Astyanax mexicanus: one gene and its partner. The protein of the gene in region 1 purifies or fractionates together with the protein of each later gene. This does not show direct contact. Links are inferred from orthologs where the notes say so. Each region holds a gene or a part of one and is shown on either strand. Other genes may lie near its edges. The genes, in order: flii and lrrfip2.

Region 1 (9,522 bases):
AGGATTAACGTTCTCTACTCAGCCGGTATGTGATGTTCCAATCACTTTTTAGGTTTTTAAGTAGTTTTATCTATTATATTATTATTATATTCTAATTAGTAGTAGTACCTGTAGTATCATTAATAGAAGTAACAGCAGTAGTAGTAGTTTTTTTATGTTTTATTTATGTTTTATTTTATCTTTCCTGATATCTAATATCTAATTTGTTACTTGTTTTATACTTGTGTCTGTTTAATGTAGTCTTTGCTTTATTATTGTAACCATTGCTTAACTAAACTGTAACCACACTGTGCTACTGGGATCATACTAACAAGTCATGGTTATACTGTCCTCAGATTGGATGAAGCACTGTCCAATTATTTGGGCCAGGCCCAGGAGTATACCGAGCAGGAGGAACAAGAATTAGAGATGCCTCTTCCAGTACGGAAGTGTCCGCAGTGCAACCGGGACATGGTTTTAAGAAAGAGGAAGGACAGCACAGGGTATGTATATATTAAAGGTAACGCATATCAGTATCAATCATTATAAAACGCTGAATCTGACATCCACATAAAGTAATTTGCCCCTGGGTTATAGGTTTAGTTATTACATTTTTGAGAATATTTTATTATTTATGAATTCCTCAGAACTAGGGCTGTGCGACAGGACAAAAGAATTGGTATTGAAGACAGAAAAATGTCTTTTGTTTAGTGTTGCGCTCTATTGTCTATATTGTTGCAAAATACAACAGCCTTTTTGTTGCCTGGGTGATGCGCCAAAGCTCCATACTGGTCTGTGGAAGTTCGGTGCGCAATTTCATTTAAGTTGAAAAGTAAAAGTGAAAAGTATAAAATGAGAAATATAATAAAATATGAAAACATACTTTTATTTGCTGAGCGTAATTCAGTATGTAATAAGTGTTTTGTGTGGTTAGCTGATTTAAAAAAAAAAAAGTTGATAAAAAAGGGCTTTGTCATGACCTATACCGTTATCACAATGTGGATTTTTGGTCAGATCACACAGCCCTACTTAGAATTTGTCAACAAAGTGAAAGTTATCCCTGCATAGTTTGAAGCATGCTACTTAAGCTCATTTTAAAGAACACTGAATTGCAGCCACTGCTTGGCGTATGGTGTAATCTCTGAAGCATGTTAATAGTGAGTGTTAGCACTTTGTAGGAAGATGTGAAGTTGAAATTCTGCTGAGGTGGTTGTTCTCTTTTTTGCTCTGTATGCTATTTCCTTTGTCATCACACTCTTTCACCGACTCTCTGCAGGAAGTTTCTGTCGTGTCTGGGCTACCCAGCCTGTAAGGCAGCAGTGTGGTTTCCAGATACAGTGCTGGAGGTCAGCAGAGATGACAGCGTCTGTCCAACGTGTCGCCCACATCCTGTCCACATGTAAGAAACATGACTAGTGTCTAAAATAATATCATGATATTTGAACACTTTTGCGATGTGAAAAAACACTACATTTCTACAGTATACTGCAGCAACAAAATTTAATGATAGTGTTTCTTAATGTAAAGTGTCATTTACACACAAACATTTGAAACACTCAGTAGAAACCAAAGTAAACAGTAGCAACTTAGCAAGAATTATTTTGTATAAAATATTAATAGTGTAAAAATAAATTATGTAACATAATATTAATAATAATAATGTTAGTAAAAAATTAATACATTACTAAAGTGTATTAGTAACAGTATATTTTGTGCATGCAAAGAAAATAGAGACTGCTTTTAAGACAAAATATCATTGTTATCGCAAATATAAAGAAAAAACAATAATATTGGTACAATATGAAATTGCACACTCATAGTGTAAAATACTTACTTTTTTATGATTCTCCCAAATAAAAATAAGGTGAAATCACCCAAAGTGGCTTTTTAAAATATTTTCCAGGCTGAAGTTCAAGTTCAAGAGGGGAAGTCTTCCTCCAGGGATGGATCTCGAGTTTGTCGGCTGCATCGGTGGCTGTGATGAGACCCTAAGAGAGGTTTTGAATCTGAAGTATCTCCGTGGAGGCGGCAGTGGAGGAGATTCTGGCATTCAAGTTATTCAACGTACAGCTTCACGTCAACCAAATGCACCTAGAAACAATAATACAGCACTTCAGTCCAGGTCTGAGAACAGACCTCCACCTCCCAGACCCAGCGCAGACAGTAGCAGACCCCCACTGACCAATCCCGCACAGTCAAGGCCCATGCAGCTGCCGTCTTCTGACCAGAGCAATGCTGTGGTGTGTAACTGTGGAGTGGACGCGCTTCTCCTCACAGTTCGGAAAGAGGGTCCCAACCAAGGCCGTCAGTTCTACAAGTGCAATACGGGGAACTGTAAGTTCTTCCTGTGGGCGGATGAGTCGGCTGAGCAGCACGGGTCAGCAGGGAGCAGAGGACCAGCTGGTCAAAGTTTTCAACCTTCAAGACCTTCTGTTGGATTTGGAAATGGGCCTCAGGAGAGGCATGGCAGCAGAGGAGCAGCAGGAGATACAGGAGGAGAGGCGATGTGTAACTGTAACGAACCTGCTGTCCAAAGAACCGTCATGAAAGATGGGCCAAACAAGGGAAGAGCGTTCCATACCTGCGGGAAACCACGGGATCAGCAGTGTGGCTTCTTTCAATGGGCGGATGAAAACGTGCCTCCAGGTACTAGGATTAAATGACAAGGAGATATTCATGTGTACAGCATAATATTGTTAATGTTCACTAAAATCAATTCTAAAAACCTATTCTGATGCAACTTAAGGGTGTTCTCACACCTGTAAGTCTTTGATATATGTTTATTATTTTATATTAGTTTAGTCCAGTTAGTTTTGGTTTCACACTGCAGCACTAATAAGCACGATAAAAACTTTGCTACATCCTGTTATCCCCACTTACCTGTGCTGCATTTATTTATACTTAACAGTTATAATGCTGTCCATTCAGTAAGTAATGCTGTCTATTATAATTCTGCCTCCCAGCCAAAATCGGTCCCCTTCAAGCACATACACTTCACTCATCAGAATAACCGTAAAAAAGTAACCCTCAGTTTCCTTTTTTCTGTTTATAATTAAGGGATAATATAAGTTAGATGAAGGAGTCACCTGTGCAGCCTGTTGCACACTAAACTGATTTTTCCTGATCTATTGCTCAATAGCCTTCCTCAAATTTGTGTAATTGGTCCAAACATCTAAATAACCTAGAAAAGTTATTTTGCGCTGCAGATCAATTAAAACATGGTTAAATTGAATCGGACTGAGGCCTCTCTTTTGGTCAGATCTAATTTTGGTTCTTTGAAGCCACAAACCACAATTGACCAAAATTTGTCTGGATTTGTCAGTAAGAAAACAATATTTTGGATAGTTTTATTTTTTTGGACCAATTACAAGAAGTTGTTGGCTATTGACATGCATTAAACAATAGAAGAAGAAAAAGTCTGAAATCTCATTCTGAAATTACCCTGGCGATATCTGTATCTACTGTAAATATATATTAAACCTAATTTATAAGCAGAATTAAAAAAGGAATCGGAGGGTAAACTGTTTTTTTCATTCCAGGGAGGGAGGTACAATTTGGCACAACACCTTAAAGTCAACTGCAGTTTTACTCCTACATACTGAAGAGTGTCAAGTATAAGTGTACCCAGCCTGCATAGGGGATGACGGAAGAATGTCCATAAGTGTGCTTATTAAACTGCAGTGTGAAAGCAAAACTAACCTAACCAAAATGTTACAATTTGATAACCAGGACAATCTTGATTCAGACTTTGGTCCATATTTATAGTACTGAAAACTTCCAGTGAGGAACACACAGTAACACAGTGATTAAACTGCATTTACATACTGTTCCATATTTAATGTATTTTTAATTTTTCTTAGCTGCTGTAAGAAGCACAACAGGTGGAGGAGACAACAGTACGTGGAATGGCAGTAAGAAGACTGGAGTTTCTTCAAGTAAAGCTCCTGCTGCCAAAAGGCCGAGGACTTGTGGAATTTGTCATCAGCCAGGCCACACACGGACCACCTGTCCACAGGGCCGGTGAGACAGAAGCAGTCTGTCCACTGAGTCACTAATGTTTGTAAATTTATCTTTGTTTTAAAACTTTTACAGAATAAAATATAAAATTTACAAAGTAATTGCTGTCATCAATTGTATAACGGAATTATTTTATTACAGTAAATGTAAATAGAAAAAAAATGGTTAACCGCATGTTCGTTTTGTGTTTTTAACCAGATTTACCAACCTGAACCAAACTGGGATAATTTCAAACATATTGATATATTAAAGGTGTAAAACAGCCCCAGAATCACTGTGTTCATTCTATTGACTTTTATTTTAATAACAGAGAGGGGAGAGAAAAAGAGTTTACTTCCAAATTTAAAAACAATACCATTTCACTGGGTAATGTAATTTTATTTTTTTTATATATTTTTTTTATTGTTAATTTTCCAAAAAAAGGTCTTTATTTATTCTTTTATTCATTTATTTATCGATCAATTGTTTGATTGTGAAGGAAAGTAAGCAGGTACACAATACAGTACAGTAATACAAAAAGTGCAAGAATATATACAAGAAAATCTACAATTACACACTCATCATTATACACGATAAATAGAAAAACGAAGTATGCACTCGTCCAATCTGCTACAGGAAAATTGCCTTATGCACTTACACTCAGGGTTTCATCTTGCTTCTACTTTTTAGTTGTTTATGTGTTTGTTTTATCTTGATATATATTAATAAAACTATTATTCTTTATTTTAATTTTTTTTTATCTTACATAATAATTGCTTTTTGGAGTGAAACTGGGAAAACTTTTCAAATACAAAATGTATAAGGAAGTGACCAATTGTTTTGTCTCCAAGAGTTCTGTAAAATGAAAATAGAGATGTGTCAAATTGCATAATAGTTGTCATCAGCAATAATAAACCTTTGGGGACAAGCCTAGCATGCTTCACAGTTTTATTATCGCTGTTTATTAAAAGTTTTGAATTAAAGCTGATGTTCGTACATTTCAGGATTTAGGGCCCACTCTGGTAAAAAGTGGATAATTGCACTGAGTATGCAGAAAAATCATTTTCAACTGGAAGGGTGTTATGCGGTCTCCTTCCAGAGCGGATGAATCCGATTCCAGGTTATGTTCAGTCAGAGAGAGAGCGCTCAGTCAGAAACTTTCCTTCACCTACACACTTTACTTTTACTATGGGTGAATGAGGTCCTGAGCTCTGAGTTTCCTCTTCTGGAGTCTCCATTGCTCCACCAGCTGCTTGCGTTCAGTAAAACAGAGCCGGATCCTCTTTCAGAGGCTGTACATGTGCAGTAAGTAGGTAAAGACGGGTGATGTGGCCAGAAGAACTCCCGCAAAAAGCAAGCTGACAGGGACGGACATTCCAGCACACTGGTCATGTTGCCATTAAACACAATATTGTGTTCCTTCTCCACTCAGAAATGCTTCTGCTTTCAGTATAGAAACATAATAATACAGACTGCCACTTTAAAAAGGAAGAGAAAATATGATCTGTTTGGTTATAAACACTGCAAAAGTTTATAAATTTACAAAAGTTCCATTGCTGCTCTGTTTGTAGCTTTGCTGTTTGGCTTGTAAGCGCTGCATTGTTGCTAGGTTACCTGTATGTTGTGGAGTAATATTACATAAAGAGCTTTGGTTACAGTGCATTGCCAGCTGATAACGGCACTCATAGAACATCTCTCAGCCAATCACATTGCAGGGTCAGAACTATCTGCGGTATAATATATGATAGATCATCATTATAAAGAAAATCATAATATCAGAAGTACTTACGTTTTTTTTACTTAAAGATTGGAGAAGTGAATTAAACTCAGTTAAACAGACAAGAAAGCTCTGTTTTGCGTCTGAAATTTATTGTTTGTGAATAAAATATTTTGCAAGTAGGAATGTGATTTTAATCTCACATTCCTAGATAAGACTGAGTGAAGTCAGTGTGGGTTGAACCAAGTTAACTTAGGGAGGGTGGGGCTGCTCACTCACCGGCTGCTGCTGCTGCTGCTGTGGTCACACACACACACACACACACACACACTCCCTCCCTTCTTCACACACACACACACACACACACTCAGTCACTCAGCCAGAAATAGGCTGACTGCTACATCCTGAATTAGAAATGGCTGCCACCGGAGTTCTCCCCTTTATCAGGGGAGTAGACTTGAGTGGAAACGATTTTAAAGTAAGTGTGGAGCTTAATTATTATCATACAGACTTATTTATTTAATTATTTATTTTAATATTTTGTTTAAAAGTGGATTTTTTTAGATGATATCTGTTAAAACACTCCTTAGCCAACAGTATACAAGTCACTGGGCGTTAGCTAGCTAGCGTTAGCTTTAGCCGACACCAGCTGCCTGTCAGTGCGAGTATAGAGAAGTAGCGTTAGCTAGTTAGCTTAGCTAACATAGATTGTAAAGCTGGATAGCTAAAATGATAACTTGTCAAATAATGACGTTTAGCTGTTCATATATTTATATAGGGAGCTGTCCTATGCTTATGCGGTAACTTGCTACCTACGTAGTTAAATGTCTAGTTATATACTCTAGGCTTAGCTTAGCTGCCTGTAGCTAGGTTACGTTAGCTAAGCTAGCTAGCTGGCAAACAGCGTAGCTTAACATAACTAACAAGTTGCTTCATGTCTTCATTACACTGAACACATTAAGTATATATTTAGTAACCTATTTTATCCTAAATTCAAATGTTTTATTATTTTCCAAGCCCATGAAACAGCTGACAACGCTCCCCTGCGTCCTTGTTGACTACAATTAACGTTAACCACACGCAGCTGTCAAGCTGTTGTTAAGAGACAAGCTAAACTAGCTAGCTAGCTAGCTAACTACTGTTCTTCCATTTCTCCCAATGATAATTTTATTCATGTTCATATGTATTGTATATTGTTTATATATATATATATATATATATATATATATATATATATATATATATATATATATATATATATATATATAACTGTGCTTAATAAAGCTGTTAAACAAAAGCTTTGTCATGAAGACATACCAAGTGCCAACCTTTAGACTTCTTATAACATATTTTAGCAGATACGTATGTTGTGATTTTTGTACAATCCCAGTCAAACGTTTAGGAAACACCATTTTTCTTAATCAATGTGTGTTCTTTTCTTTTATTATTTTTATTGCATTGTACATTAAATATTGAATACATCAAAGCTGTACAAGAGCACAAAAAGGGTTAAACCAGAATATGTTTTATACTTTAGATACTTCTTAGATTCTTCTAAGCTTTGAGGACAGATCTGCACACTCTTGGTATTTTAATATCAGTGTCTTTAGGAGGTAGAATCACCTGGAATTGTTTTCTCAGCATCTTAAAGGAGTTTCTGGAGATGCTGACCAATAGTTGCTGCTTTTTCTTCACGCTGTGAAACTTCAGTTCATCCCATATCACCATCTCAGTTGATCAGGGGATTGTTGAAGACAAATACTTATTTTACTTGTTCACATATTCCAGGTGTCCCTAAATTGTTTTTATATCTGTAATATTAATCTACAATATAGAAAATAAATTAAATAAATTAAATAAAGGAAACATTGAATGAGAATTGATGTGTCCAAACGTTTGGACGTTTGTCCAGAAGTACTGTGTGTGCCAGCAATAAATGTGTCAAGTGTGCTTTGGTCTAGAGGTGATGACTAATAAGCAGGAGCTGTCATGGTTGTCATCATTTTTTGTCATATTTCTCTAGGGGGGCTACTTTCCAGAACATGTAAAATCCATGACCAGCCTCCGATGGCTCAAACTCAACAGAACTGGGCTTTGTTATCTTCCAGAAGAGCTGTCCTCGCTCCAGAAACTGGTAAGGATTTCTTGATTTTCTTGATTTCCTGTGTGGATTGAATACATGTTTTATCTTACATTCCACCCTGCAAAAACAAACTTCAACAAAGAATTAAACAAAATTCATGACCTCAACCATATGTTTATATATGTTCTTGACAGCCTTCACTTTGCTTACCTAAAGTAGAGAAGGCAAACTATTATAATGACCATTAGAAATCTCTGTGTCACAATCTCAGTACGTATATCACACACTTGCTTTGTATAGTGTGTGCTGTGCCCAGCAAATAATATCCTGACTTCTGTGATATTGGATATAATTTACAGGTGTCTGGGAGGCAATATTAGTATGTTTGCAATTTATTTTACAACCCAAGCAATTTTCAATGTCTGTATGTTAAATAGATTAAAAAATTATGTGTGTTTCTGTAGGCAGAGTTTCATTAAAATATCACAAATACTCCACTACCTAAGGACACATAATATGCCACTTTGACCATCAATTTCCATGGACTCTTTTTCTGTTTTTTAATGTTTGAAAACAGGAGCATTTGTCAGTGAGTCACAACAGTCTTACGACGCTACATGGAGAGCTGTCAAGCCTTCCAAACCTGAGGGTAAGTCACAGTGCAGTAATAGAGAATATGCTTTATTCTTACGTATGAGTTTCTGGTTATGTGTTTGTAGTAATCAAACATGTTAATCCTTTGTTTAGGCAGTTGTAGCCAGAGCGAATAACCTTAAGAACTCTGGAGTTCCAGATGATATCTTTCAGTTGGATGACCTCTCAGTATTGGTATGTTTTTTTTTTGTTTTTTTTTACTCTTTCAAGCTTCTCTTGAGTTACTTTTAAAATTAAAAATTATAATAGAGGGGTTGTTTTCCCTTTGCCACAGTAACAGCCGCTTATCCTCCGCAAAGGCCTTAAATATTAGATTTTCAGTTACATTGCTGTGCAGATGTGATGTCATTCAGCCATGAGAGCATTAGTGAGATAATGTCCTAATTATAGATGATGAATTATAGATCAAAAAATATCACTCAGACTTATCTCAGTCTTATTGAGCTCCAGCAATCTAGAGAAGTCTGTTCTACTGCTGCAGAGCCTAAAGCTGCAGGGCTTCATGACCCCTCTACCTACTGGATGGCATTGGGCTTGGTGTTGTACTTATGCATGGTGGCTCTAGATTGGTTTGTTTTGTTGTTATTACCCCTTAATTGAAATTACACAAGTTGTACATGTGCAGAGATTTACTGTACAATATAACAGAAAAAAATTGATGAGACAATATTACCATTGTTTTTCTAATAATGAATGTCACCCGAACTTAGTTAAGATAGTTAAGATATTTCGTTCATGAGACCTATAAACATAGACAAAAATTAAGCATTTTAAAAATAGTTGAAACATAATTGTTTGCCATTTTGATCTGAAAAACTTGCAGCTTTCAAACTATTATATTATACATATATCATTGGCATAAAATGCTCCTAAAATTATCATAGCGTCAACTTTCACAATTATTAGGATTTTTAATATTTCTGGGATAAAATACTATAAGAAATATGTACTTATTGAGACTTGTTTATGTGACAGTAATGGGTGCACCATAAAATAGTGGAACTGACTCATTAAAAAGAGTGTATGGACGTGTTTGTACTTGTATCATGTCCACAAGGAGATTTTGGCTGATTTCTCAGTAAAGGGAGAAGTT
Region 2 (9,304 bases), on another chromosome or scaffold:
TACATGTGTTGTCAATTTCTGTGTTGTTATTAACTAACAATGGGGCAGATTCACCACCAAGAAATAAGCCAAGGATTATTAATCTTGGACTACACAGCATTTTGAATAGAGATTTTCTATTAAATGTAAAATATAGTCTATGACTAGGCTAACTCCCCCAAAGCTTTTTTCCCCCACAGATAGCACATTATTAAAATCACTACTTACTTGTTTAATGTATTAAAATTAAAGCAAATAAACAAATATATAAACAAAATATGGAGGGAGCAAAAGTATTAGAACACATAAAGAGTAGTAAATGCAGTAGAAAATGATGTAAGGGTGGAACAAAATATCGTTATCGTGATCTTGTTCATGATTTTCATTGAGATATATTATTGATACGTGGTGCCCAATATCGATATGTTTACTGAAACACAGGTACTCTAATCTCTTTTGTTATAAGAGGAATAGTTACACTCCAAAACAAGGGGTACCAGCACCTGGCAGTGAGCTACCATATGGAAGATGGCATTTCAATTCCCGTTCTACACAGTACAGAACATTAGAGGCAGGTCTACCCAGTAGTGCAGAAATTCACTTTACCTGTATTTTGGTCCACCTAACCAAAACAACATTTGTTTACTGTTCCATCTACTGTACTGTATGATACAGTATGACATGGTGGTGTATTTTAATAAGCAAACTTTTTATACAACCAGGCAAATTACCTCGGCCAAACTGAAAGTCTGATATTTTATTGGGCCTACGAGGATACTGATATCAGGCTGGTATCAGCACCAAATGCTTTAGTGGAGTCTCCATTGTTCAAGGAAGACTTTTTTTTAAGCAAAGGTCTAGATTATATTTTCCTTTCAATGGAAAATCTCTATTCAAATGCTGTCTATTGCAATACCAGGCATAATCCCTGATTGGGAAACTGCCCCATAGTTTATATAACATCTTTACAACTTTTTTGTTTTGGTGCTGCCCTAGTCCTGCAGGGCTCTTATCTACAGTAAAGCTTGCTGTGGTGCAGGAGGTCTATCAGGGCACAGAACGTCCCGCTGCTACAGCTGTTCTCTGGAAGCACTTGAGTGAAGTTGGTCCATGGGGCCGGTGCCCGCTACTGGCATCTGTCTTTCTGGATGAGAGAGCTGCTATATGTAAGAGAATTAATCAACTGTGTGGCATTCGCTACGGCCAGGCGCCAGGTTCAGCATTACGGGACAAAAAACAAATATGACAACAGCTACACGGCATCCTTCAAAACGTTGGTATTATTTGGCCTGTGTTACAGCACTTTAAATGTTTACGGACAATTAAATGGTTAACCAAGTGGTAACGGACATCACAACCACTGGTTTCCATTACCACCACTGCGAAATATTGTGCATTATTCTACAGAATTACAGATTCAGTTAAATAAATACCTAAAACATAGATTATTCAGCAATACTATAAACACAGACCCTGTCATACAATATATAATAATTGAACCTCAATAAATTTTGTTAACTTCAATAATGCCTATTAAATGTGAAAGAGTCACTATGTCAACTTTGTTTAAAAAAACAAAAAAAACACACAAACATTTAAATAATTAAGATATCGAATAACTATAACAGGGCATAAATGCTGTATTATGCTTTTTTATTATTGCTATATCGATACCATAAAAGGTTGTTAAAATAAGAGTAATATCGCTTTCTGCAATTATTAACTTAACCCTGAGGTAGACAGTGAAAACTGAGAAAGAGCAATCTAACGCCTCATAGGGAAATATTCTATTTTATCTAAAACACAACCAAAAACATATGAAATAAAACAGCAAATACTTTAATAACTAAATATTAAGTTTCTTGACTTGGGATGCATTAACGTTTTTAGCCTTTTCCATACCCTTAGCATTTAACAGCTAACTAGAAAAAAAAGCTAACTAGACACCTTAAGGGAAAACTTTGCTAGATTTGATTAATCACAGAGCCCATGTAATAATAAAAACATTAGGCTAGATAAATAAGTATGGTTTTATGTGTAATTTAGGTATTTAAACACAGAACCAGCTAACACTACCTTAGCTAAAAAAAAAAAATAAAGTTTTATAACTGAATATATGAAGTAAAATAAAATAATGGGGTTCAGCTTAAATTATATTTATTCATGTATAAGTGTGTACAGTTTCTAGGCTTGGGCTGTATTTCTTCATTAGTGTAAAATTATTTTTTATTGCAGCCCACACTTTTCACAACTTAGCCATGTAACTATACAGTTTACAGTTTGTTTTGTTACAATAATAATAATATTATAAATTATGCACTCTATAGTCTTGTTTTTGAAAGTTATTCCTAACTAAATGCTTCTGTAAGAGAATATATATAGATTACATGATTATAAATTTTAAGTTTAGCCACAAATGCAAACATTTCAGCTTCTGAAATATCTGTAAAAGTGTAAAATATCTGTACACTTGATATATAAAACGAGTTAAAGCTAGTTTAGCGTTAACTGCTGTCTTAATGTGAGGTGGGGCTTTTTTACCGACTATAGACAGCTAAAAACAATAAAAACCTCTAAAAGATACTTTAAAAGAAAACTTTAACGGTTCTGGTTTAATCAGAGGGTTCAGTTTAATCGTAAAACTCTAAATAAATATGTTGTAATGTGTAATTTAGGTATTTAATCACTTTTTTAAACACACACTCATAGCTTAGCTTAGCTTAGCTAAATTTTTGACATGTCAGAAGCGAGCGGTTAGCGTTAGCTATCAGAGCGCGAGCGAGAGGCGCGCTAAATATAGCCCGCTAGCATTTCTGGAGCTTCACTGGGACCAGTGTTCTGTCGAATTCTGCTACCTTCCGATACGTGCTTTCTAAAAGTACTGCGCATGCGCTGACCAATACTTTCTAATAATTTCTTGTGTTTCTTTAAATAATAAATCTGTTTTGGGGGCTTTTTTGTGCTTTAAACAGCCTGGACTCACACTGTCATTGCACAAAAGTGTAAAATGAAATGATATTAACTAATAACTAATTAATATTAATTAATACAATAACAATTATTATTTAAATATATGTATATTTTTATAACTTATTATATCCAATTATACCAACCCACATCTACTGGGACTTCTATTGGTAACATAATCTAATATAGTCCTTTTTTGTATTTGTACAGTAAAATGCACCCTATTGTAGCACGGTTTGACAGGGTAGCACAACTAGACACAACACCGCGCTCGGAAAAGCGGGCAGCTCTCCCTGAAACCCTGGAGGAGAAACTCCAGCACACGGCCCGACTCAGCCTGAACCGCAAGCCCAAACCGCCCGGCCCGAACTGAAACAACACGCCCGCTCCCCGCACTGTCAGCCGGGGGAGTTTTTAAGCGCTATTAGCCGAATCTCCGGCTGGTACACCGGGAGCTATCCTAGTTAGCTAGCTTAGCTTAGCACAGCAGCTGGAATATAAATAGAGCTAGCCGGCTAAGGCTAGGCTAAGGAAGAAAATGAAGCAGCGCTGGGTTAGATTAGGTTTTCCATGCCGCCCTAAATCCATTCAGGAACAGGACTCAGTCTTTTAGCTGCTTCACTGATTAAAACTAGAGGATTTACCTTTTCTCCGATTCCCGCCGGATCGCGTGGTTCGGTCCACAGCGCTCCTAAAAAGCGCAAAGTCACCCCAGATCCCACAAAGAGCGCCGCCGCCGCGGCCACAGCGGGTCAACCCAGCGCCGCTCCAAACACACCGCTATACCGAGCTGCTGCTGCTGCTAACCGGAGCTACTGCTGGCCTGTTCGCTCCAGCAGCAGTGTGTGTGGTATGGGAGAGGGTGTGTGTGTGTGTGTGTTTGACGGACAGCAGAAACTGACACTGCTGGTCGCGTCAGACTCCCAAAAGAAACTGCTGTTTCTTTCTCTTTCCCTCTCTCTTTCTTTCTATCTATCTCTATTTCTCCTCTCCTTATTTTTTCTATTTATCTCTTTCTTCAAAGTTCTCTTTCTTTCTCTCCATTCCTCTCTTTCTTTTTTCTTTCTTTCTGTCTATTTCACTCTCACCTCTCTTTCTGTCTCTTTCTTTTTCTCTCTTTCTTTCAATCTGTTTCTCTATCTCTTTATATCTCTTTCTTCCTATCGGTCTGTATGGCTGACGTCAGTCATTTTCTCAATATGCACAATATGCACATTTTTTCTTTCTCTTTCTTTTTTCTCCCTCCCAAAAGAAACAAACTCCTGTCTATTTATGTATTTCTCTCTTCTCTCTTTTTCTCTCTCTCTCCTCTCTCTCTTTCTTCCCTTTCTCCCTTTCTCTTTATTTCTCTCCCTCTTCTTTGTCTCTCTCCCAAAAGAAACTCCCCTCTCTTTCTCTAGAGTAAGACTTAGACTGCAGTGCTGTACCAATCTCCCTGAGAATGGTTAGGGCTAGGATAAAACCTCATTTTAACAATATAAAAAAAGCATGAATGGGTGGATCTGTATCCCTCTCTTTATTTATCTTTATTCTCTCAGCTCCTTCCTCTCCCAGTATGCAGGATCTCGCTGGTTTTACTGGGACTCAGTAGGACTTTGTGGAGGTGCAGGAGCAGCTGAACATGTCTGTGCAGGAGATCCTCCTCCTTCCTCACCCAGTCAGTCTCTCTGTCTCAGATGCCAGGGAAAGATACCCCGTTTGTCCGGAAGTGTGTGTGTGTGTGTGTGTGTGTGTGTGTGTGTGTGTGTTCATTCTGCTTTCTGTGGGAACTAATGTCCCCGGAGTGATAAGAGAACGGATGCTGAGTTGGACACCACAACAAAAAAGGGCATCAACACATTAATAAACCTAAACATAAAATATAAACTACTACTGCTAATAATAAATAAATAATAATAATAATAATAATAATAATATATTATAGATTTTTTTCTCACATTCTTCCCAATTTACCTATGCAGATTACCCCACCCACTCAGCTGCACTCCCACTAATAATAGCAATGCCTATTATTAGCACACGCCTCCTCCGATACGTTACCTTGTAACAGACAGAATGGGAGTGCTGTGGGGAGAGAGCGCCATCTACTGTACACAGATAGAACATGACCAACTGTGCTCTCTCTGACTCCGGCAGCTGATGGCGAGCAGCATGATGTATTTTTTTTTTTTTGACTACTGGGTGTCATAAAAATAATACATTATATCATAAATCATAAAAATAAATCATGAAAAAATAAATAATAAATTATATTAAGAATGCTTCAATTACATGGAACAGTTTGCCAAATGACACTAAACAATGGCATCAGTTTTAAATGGCAGCTAAAGATAGACATTTTTACAAACTTGTATTGTTATACATTTTTAAAACAGTATAGTACAGTTCCAATCTATAGTCCAGGTTTCTCACAAACTAAGGTGACGGTGGCAAGGTGACGTATATATGGATGTTGTTTATGTGTTTTAACACATGTAGAACATCAGGGAGGTGTGTGAAGACATGCAGAAGTGAAAGAGAAATCAACAGAGTGTAAACTCTGTTAAACCACACAACATTTGCCCCACTGTATTTGTCTCTGGATGCTGAACTCGTGAAGTCACCATGCTTCAGCACCAATAATGAATCCTTCATTTGGAGTGCCCTAGTGACCTCATTACTGCCCCCTCCCCAGGCTGGGGTCTTCCACTGAAAGGTGCTGACTGGCCATCCTTCTTTATAGATAGTTAGTCTTCCGGTTGGGAGCTGACAGCCCGTAATTTTGTTCCTGGGTTGATATTCATGCTTTAGCCGTGCTGAGTGTGCCAGTTGCTCAACTGGTGACATCTCTGTAAGTGCTGAGGAAACTAAAGGGACTTGAAATTTTCCTCTGCTGACCCCAAAGTTAAAAAAAAAACTCTCAAAACACACAATATAAGTTAAAGGAAGAATCAGATTTATATTACAAATGGCAGTCAAATATAATATTTAATTTTAACTGGAAGGAAGATCTGACCAGCAGCTTTGTAAGAAAGTAGTTGTTTCCTCTCTTATTTTTTCTAAATCAGATGATTTAGAAAAAAAACATAAAAAAAAGCTAAATATTTTATTCTGAAAAACGTTAGTATTTATTTATTGAGACAAAAGTAGGATGTTTTGTGTAGTAGAGAACAGTTTGTGTTTCTATGTTCTACAATGTCCCACAAATCAGAAGGAACCCAAATGTGCCCTATATTCAGATTAGTGCATTCCAAAAGTCACGGGACAACATTATGTCAAGAAATTGTCACAAAGTGTTTATAAACTATGACAGTGCACTTGTACTGTAATCATGCATACTGTAGGTAATCTGTAGAGGGCCGGCATGTCTAACTATTAGATCACAGTTGTCAGGGAACACTAGCAAATCAGTCTTTAATAGAAAAGTTCTGTCAGAACAGGAGGGGCTTAACCCTGTAATAGTACTCTCAGCTGACTCTGTAACTGATCCTTCTGGACTGTGTGGGTTTCACTCATATTCCTATTTAGGATCAATGCAGTATGTGGATCCAGATTGAGATAAACAAAGCTAAAGTCATTTTCATGTTACCATGGTTCTATAGACAGTATGCAACAGTATGAAAAATGCAAACTGCAGGCAGGCCAGTCCAATACCCATACCCTGTTCTTTCACAGCCATGCTCCTGTAATGTGTGCAGCATGTGGTTTATTAATGACTTGTTGAAAAATGCATGAACGTCCCTTAAAAAACATTTACTACTCACTTACTTGCACACTTACATAGCACCTTTTTGCCTCTATAGGCACCGAAAGGATGCTTACAATTACATGGTACATACAATCATTTACACTCATTAACACCAGTGGGAAGCGGTAGCCAATCACGCACAGCATACTCTCAACCAGAAACAACAGTCCACCTGGAGGACTGCACTCTGCACTGAGGGGCTGAACCAGGACATATCTGGGTATAAAGTCATACATACATACATACATTCATAATTATGACTCCATACATATACACACCATAACAATTTGGAGTATACCAATCTTATTTTAATCAACATGGAAACTCCATCCAGATGAACCCAGGACCCCAGTGCTGGAAGGCAAACCTCCTGAAGGCCGCATATGTTTCTGTATGATCTTGTGCATGGCATACATAACAGACCCTTCTTCTTGTTCTTGTGAGTTCTTATACTATATTTATCATTTACAGGACTGTATATACTTTCTGAAGAAAGAAGAGGCGCTTCGGTTGTCGAAATGTTTGCTTTGGAGCATTAACACCTCAAACCCTTATAGGTGTGTCCTCCATTTTTTAACGAGTTCATTCTTGTAAGGTAACTTGGCAAGAATTTTCTTCAGTTCCTTCAATCCATTCTTTACATTCTTGGAATTGAAAAACACCCAGATCCCTCCAGAACTAAGGAAGCACCACATAGACCTCCAGTCACAATACTGCTGATTACTGATCAATAATAATTACTGGTTTAGGAAAATCGGTGGTGCTACATCAACAAACTTTGGTTGTGGGGGGCACCATATTCTCTGTAGCTCTGTTACAGTCCCAGTAATTCATAAATTATTAAAAACACACAACTGTAACACACTAATGACTGGAGTTGGAGAAGAGCGTGTGTTGATTGTATCAGTGTATATACTGTATATAACTGAGTGTGCCACTTGCTTGTAAATGTGACTGAGAAAATGTTTTTAAAAACTAATTTCCCACACTTCCAATGATGATATAGTGATATAGTCTCCATTTATTTTTTTATTCTCAGAGGTACAAAAAAATGAGTATGTCTCATATAAATAAGGTCAGCTGTTTATGCTACAGACAGGCTGTCAAGCACCGTTTTAATACACGTTTTAAATGGTACTCTGGTCTGAGTATAGTAGTGAATAATAGTGATAATAGTAAATGGCGTATTGGTGCCATCTAAAGTCCAGAGCAGGTAATGCAGCTGGCAAAAACACACCTGAGATTTTTATAAATCGAATTAGTTAATTATTGACATTCTTGAGTCGAGTTATTTAACACGCAGTATTTTTATTTCACCCCTGTAATCCCATGTCATTTTTCCAGACAGTGATTTGAAACATTTTACTAATTATTAAACTCTTTTTACGCAATATACGAATATTTAAGCTTAACAAAAATGTCCCCAAAAGGATACTAGTTGGAAAATGAAATGGGATTTTAAATAGGTGGAAAAAGATCCTGATAAGAGGGTCACCTAATTTTCTTTCCCCTCAAATTATCATGTAAAAAAGAACTCATAATTAAGCCGTGGAAAAGAGATCCTAATATGTGGGAACTAGATTACACTATTGCATTATTAATATCTGGCTACGACTTAATTATCTCATTCACACACCTTATTTATCTTAATTATCTCGTTTCCAAGCCGTAAGTCGTAAGGCAACACATTTGTTTTTACATGATTTATTAAATTTTTCCACTTATATCCTTTCAGGTATATATAAATCATTTGAACTCATAAACACTACTATGATTGTTCTTAATTGTTATTTATTTATATAATTTTAATCACTTTGTAATACAATCTTTTTATCTTTATTTTTGGGTATGAACTCTTATTTTGAAATCGGCGGACAGTTCCGGTAGAGGGTTGACATTGGTGGAAGCTGTGGAGAGTCACAGCGTGTTATGGGGACTGTGCTGTTCGCTCTCTGACTGGGAGAAATCTGCTGTTTAACCGGTAATTACTCTGTTTATTTATATGATAATCAGGATTACTGTGTTTCACTGAGGTTTAAAGCTTTTCTCTGCGTCCAGCGAGTCAAAATCACCTCAAAACTAAAGGTTAGCTTATTTAGCTAACCAGCGTTAGCTGCGTCTGTTATTATTACTCAGGTTCTAACTTAGTTTAATTAACATTATCTGTGAAAACTACTAAAACTAGCTTACATGATAAATAGATAAAACAAAGAATGGTTTATTTAAATGCAAAAGTTAGTGCTGTATTTGTACCAGGTATAAGTAAATGCATTTTGTTTAGTGACAGATTGGTAGCTTCTTAATTTAACTAACGTTCAAAAGGAAGAATAGTTCTTTTAGTCTGTAAGACGTATTTTACTATTCTTATTAATAACATATATTAACATGATGTTCAGATTAACCAACGTCAGTTTATATAATTAAATAATTAATCGCACCTGCTCTCTTTCTAAAGACCCTAAAAAATCCTAGTTATTTATTTGCCCTCTTATTGAAATATAATGGGCTGACTAAAAAAGACCATGTGCTTTTTCAAAAAATAAAAGAATAATATAAAATATACTGTTTATAACCATATTAAACCAAATTTCATATTCATATGCTGTCCAATAAGGATCTCAATTATCTCAA

What was found.
Region 2: the proteins of flii (region 1) and lrrfip2 purify together in Homo sapiens (affinity purification with mass spectrometry; 3 studies listed by BioGRID and IntAct, with this or other methods). This does not show direct contact. The link is inferred for Astyanax mexicanus from reciprocal best matches to the Homo sapiens genes FLII and LRRFIP2.

What each region holds. Positions count from the first base shown.
Region 1 is NC_064410.1:54,179,190-54,188,711, reverse strand, and holds the start of flii (protein flightless-1 homolog), read left to right. Parts: upstream 1-6,040; 5' UTR 6,041-6,107; coding exon 6,108-6,170; intron 6,171-7,715; coding exon 7,716-7,826; intron 7,827-8,352; coding exon 8,353-8,424; intron 8,425-8,522; coding exon 8,523-8,603; intron 8,604-9,522. Other genes in the region: top3a (DNA topoisomerase 3-alpha), read left to right, coding at 336-482, 1,256-1,378, 1,883-2,625, 3,840-4,003. UniProt on the Homo sapiens protein: Is a regulator of actin polymerization, required for proper myofibril organization and regulation of the length of sarcomeric thin filaments. It also plays a role in the assembly of cardiomyocyte cell adhesion complexes.
Region 2 is NC_064414.1:2,210,864-2,220,167, reverse strand, and holds the start of lrrfip2 (leucine-rich repeat flightless-interacting protein 2), read right to left. Parts: upstream 3,840-9,304; 5' UTR 3,591-3,839; intron 1-3,590. UniProt on the Homo sapiens protein: May function as activator of the canonical Wnt signaling pathway, in association with DVL3, upstream of CTNNB1/beta-catenin.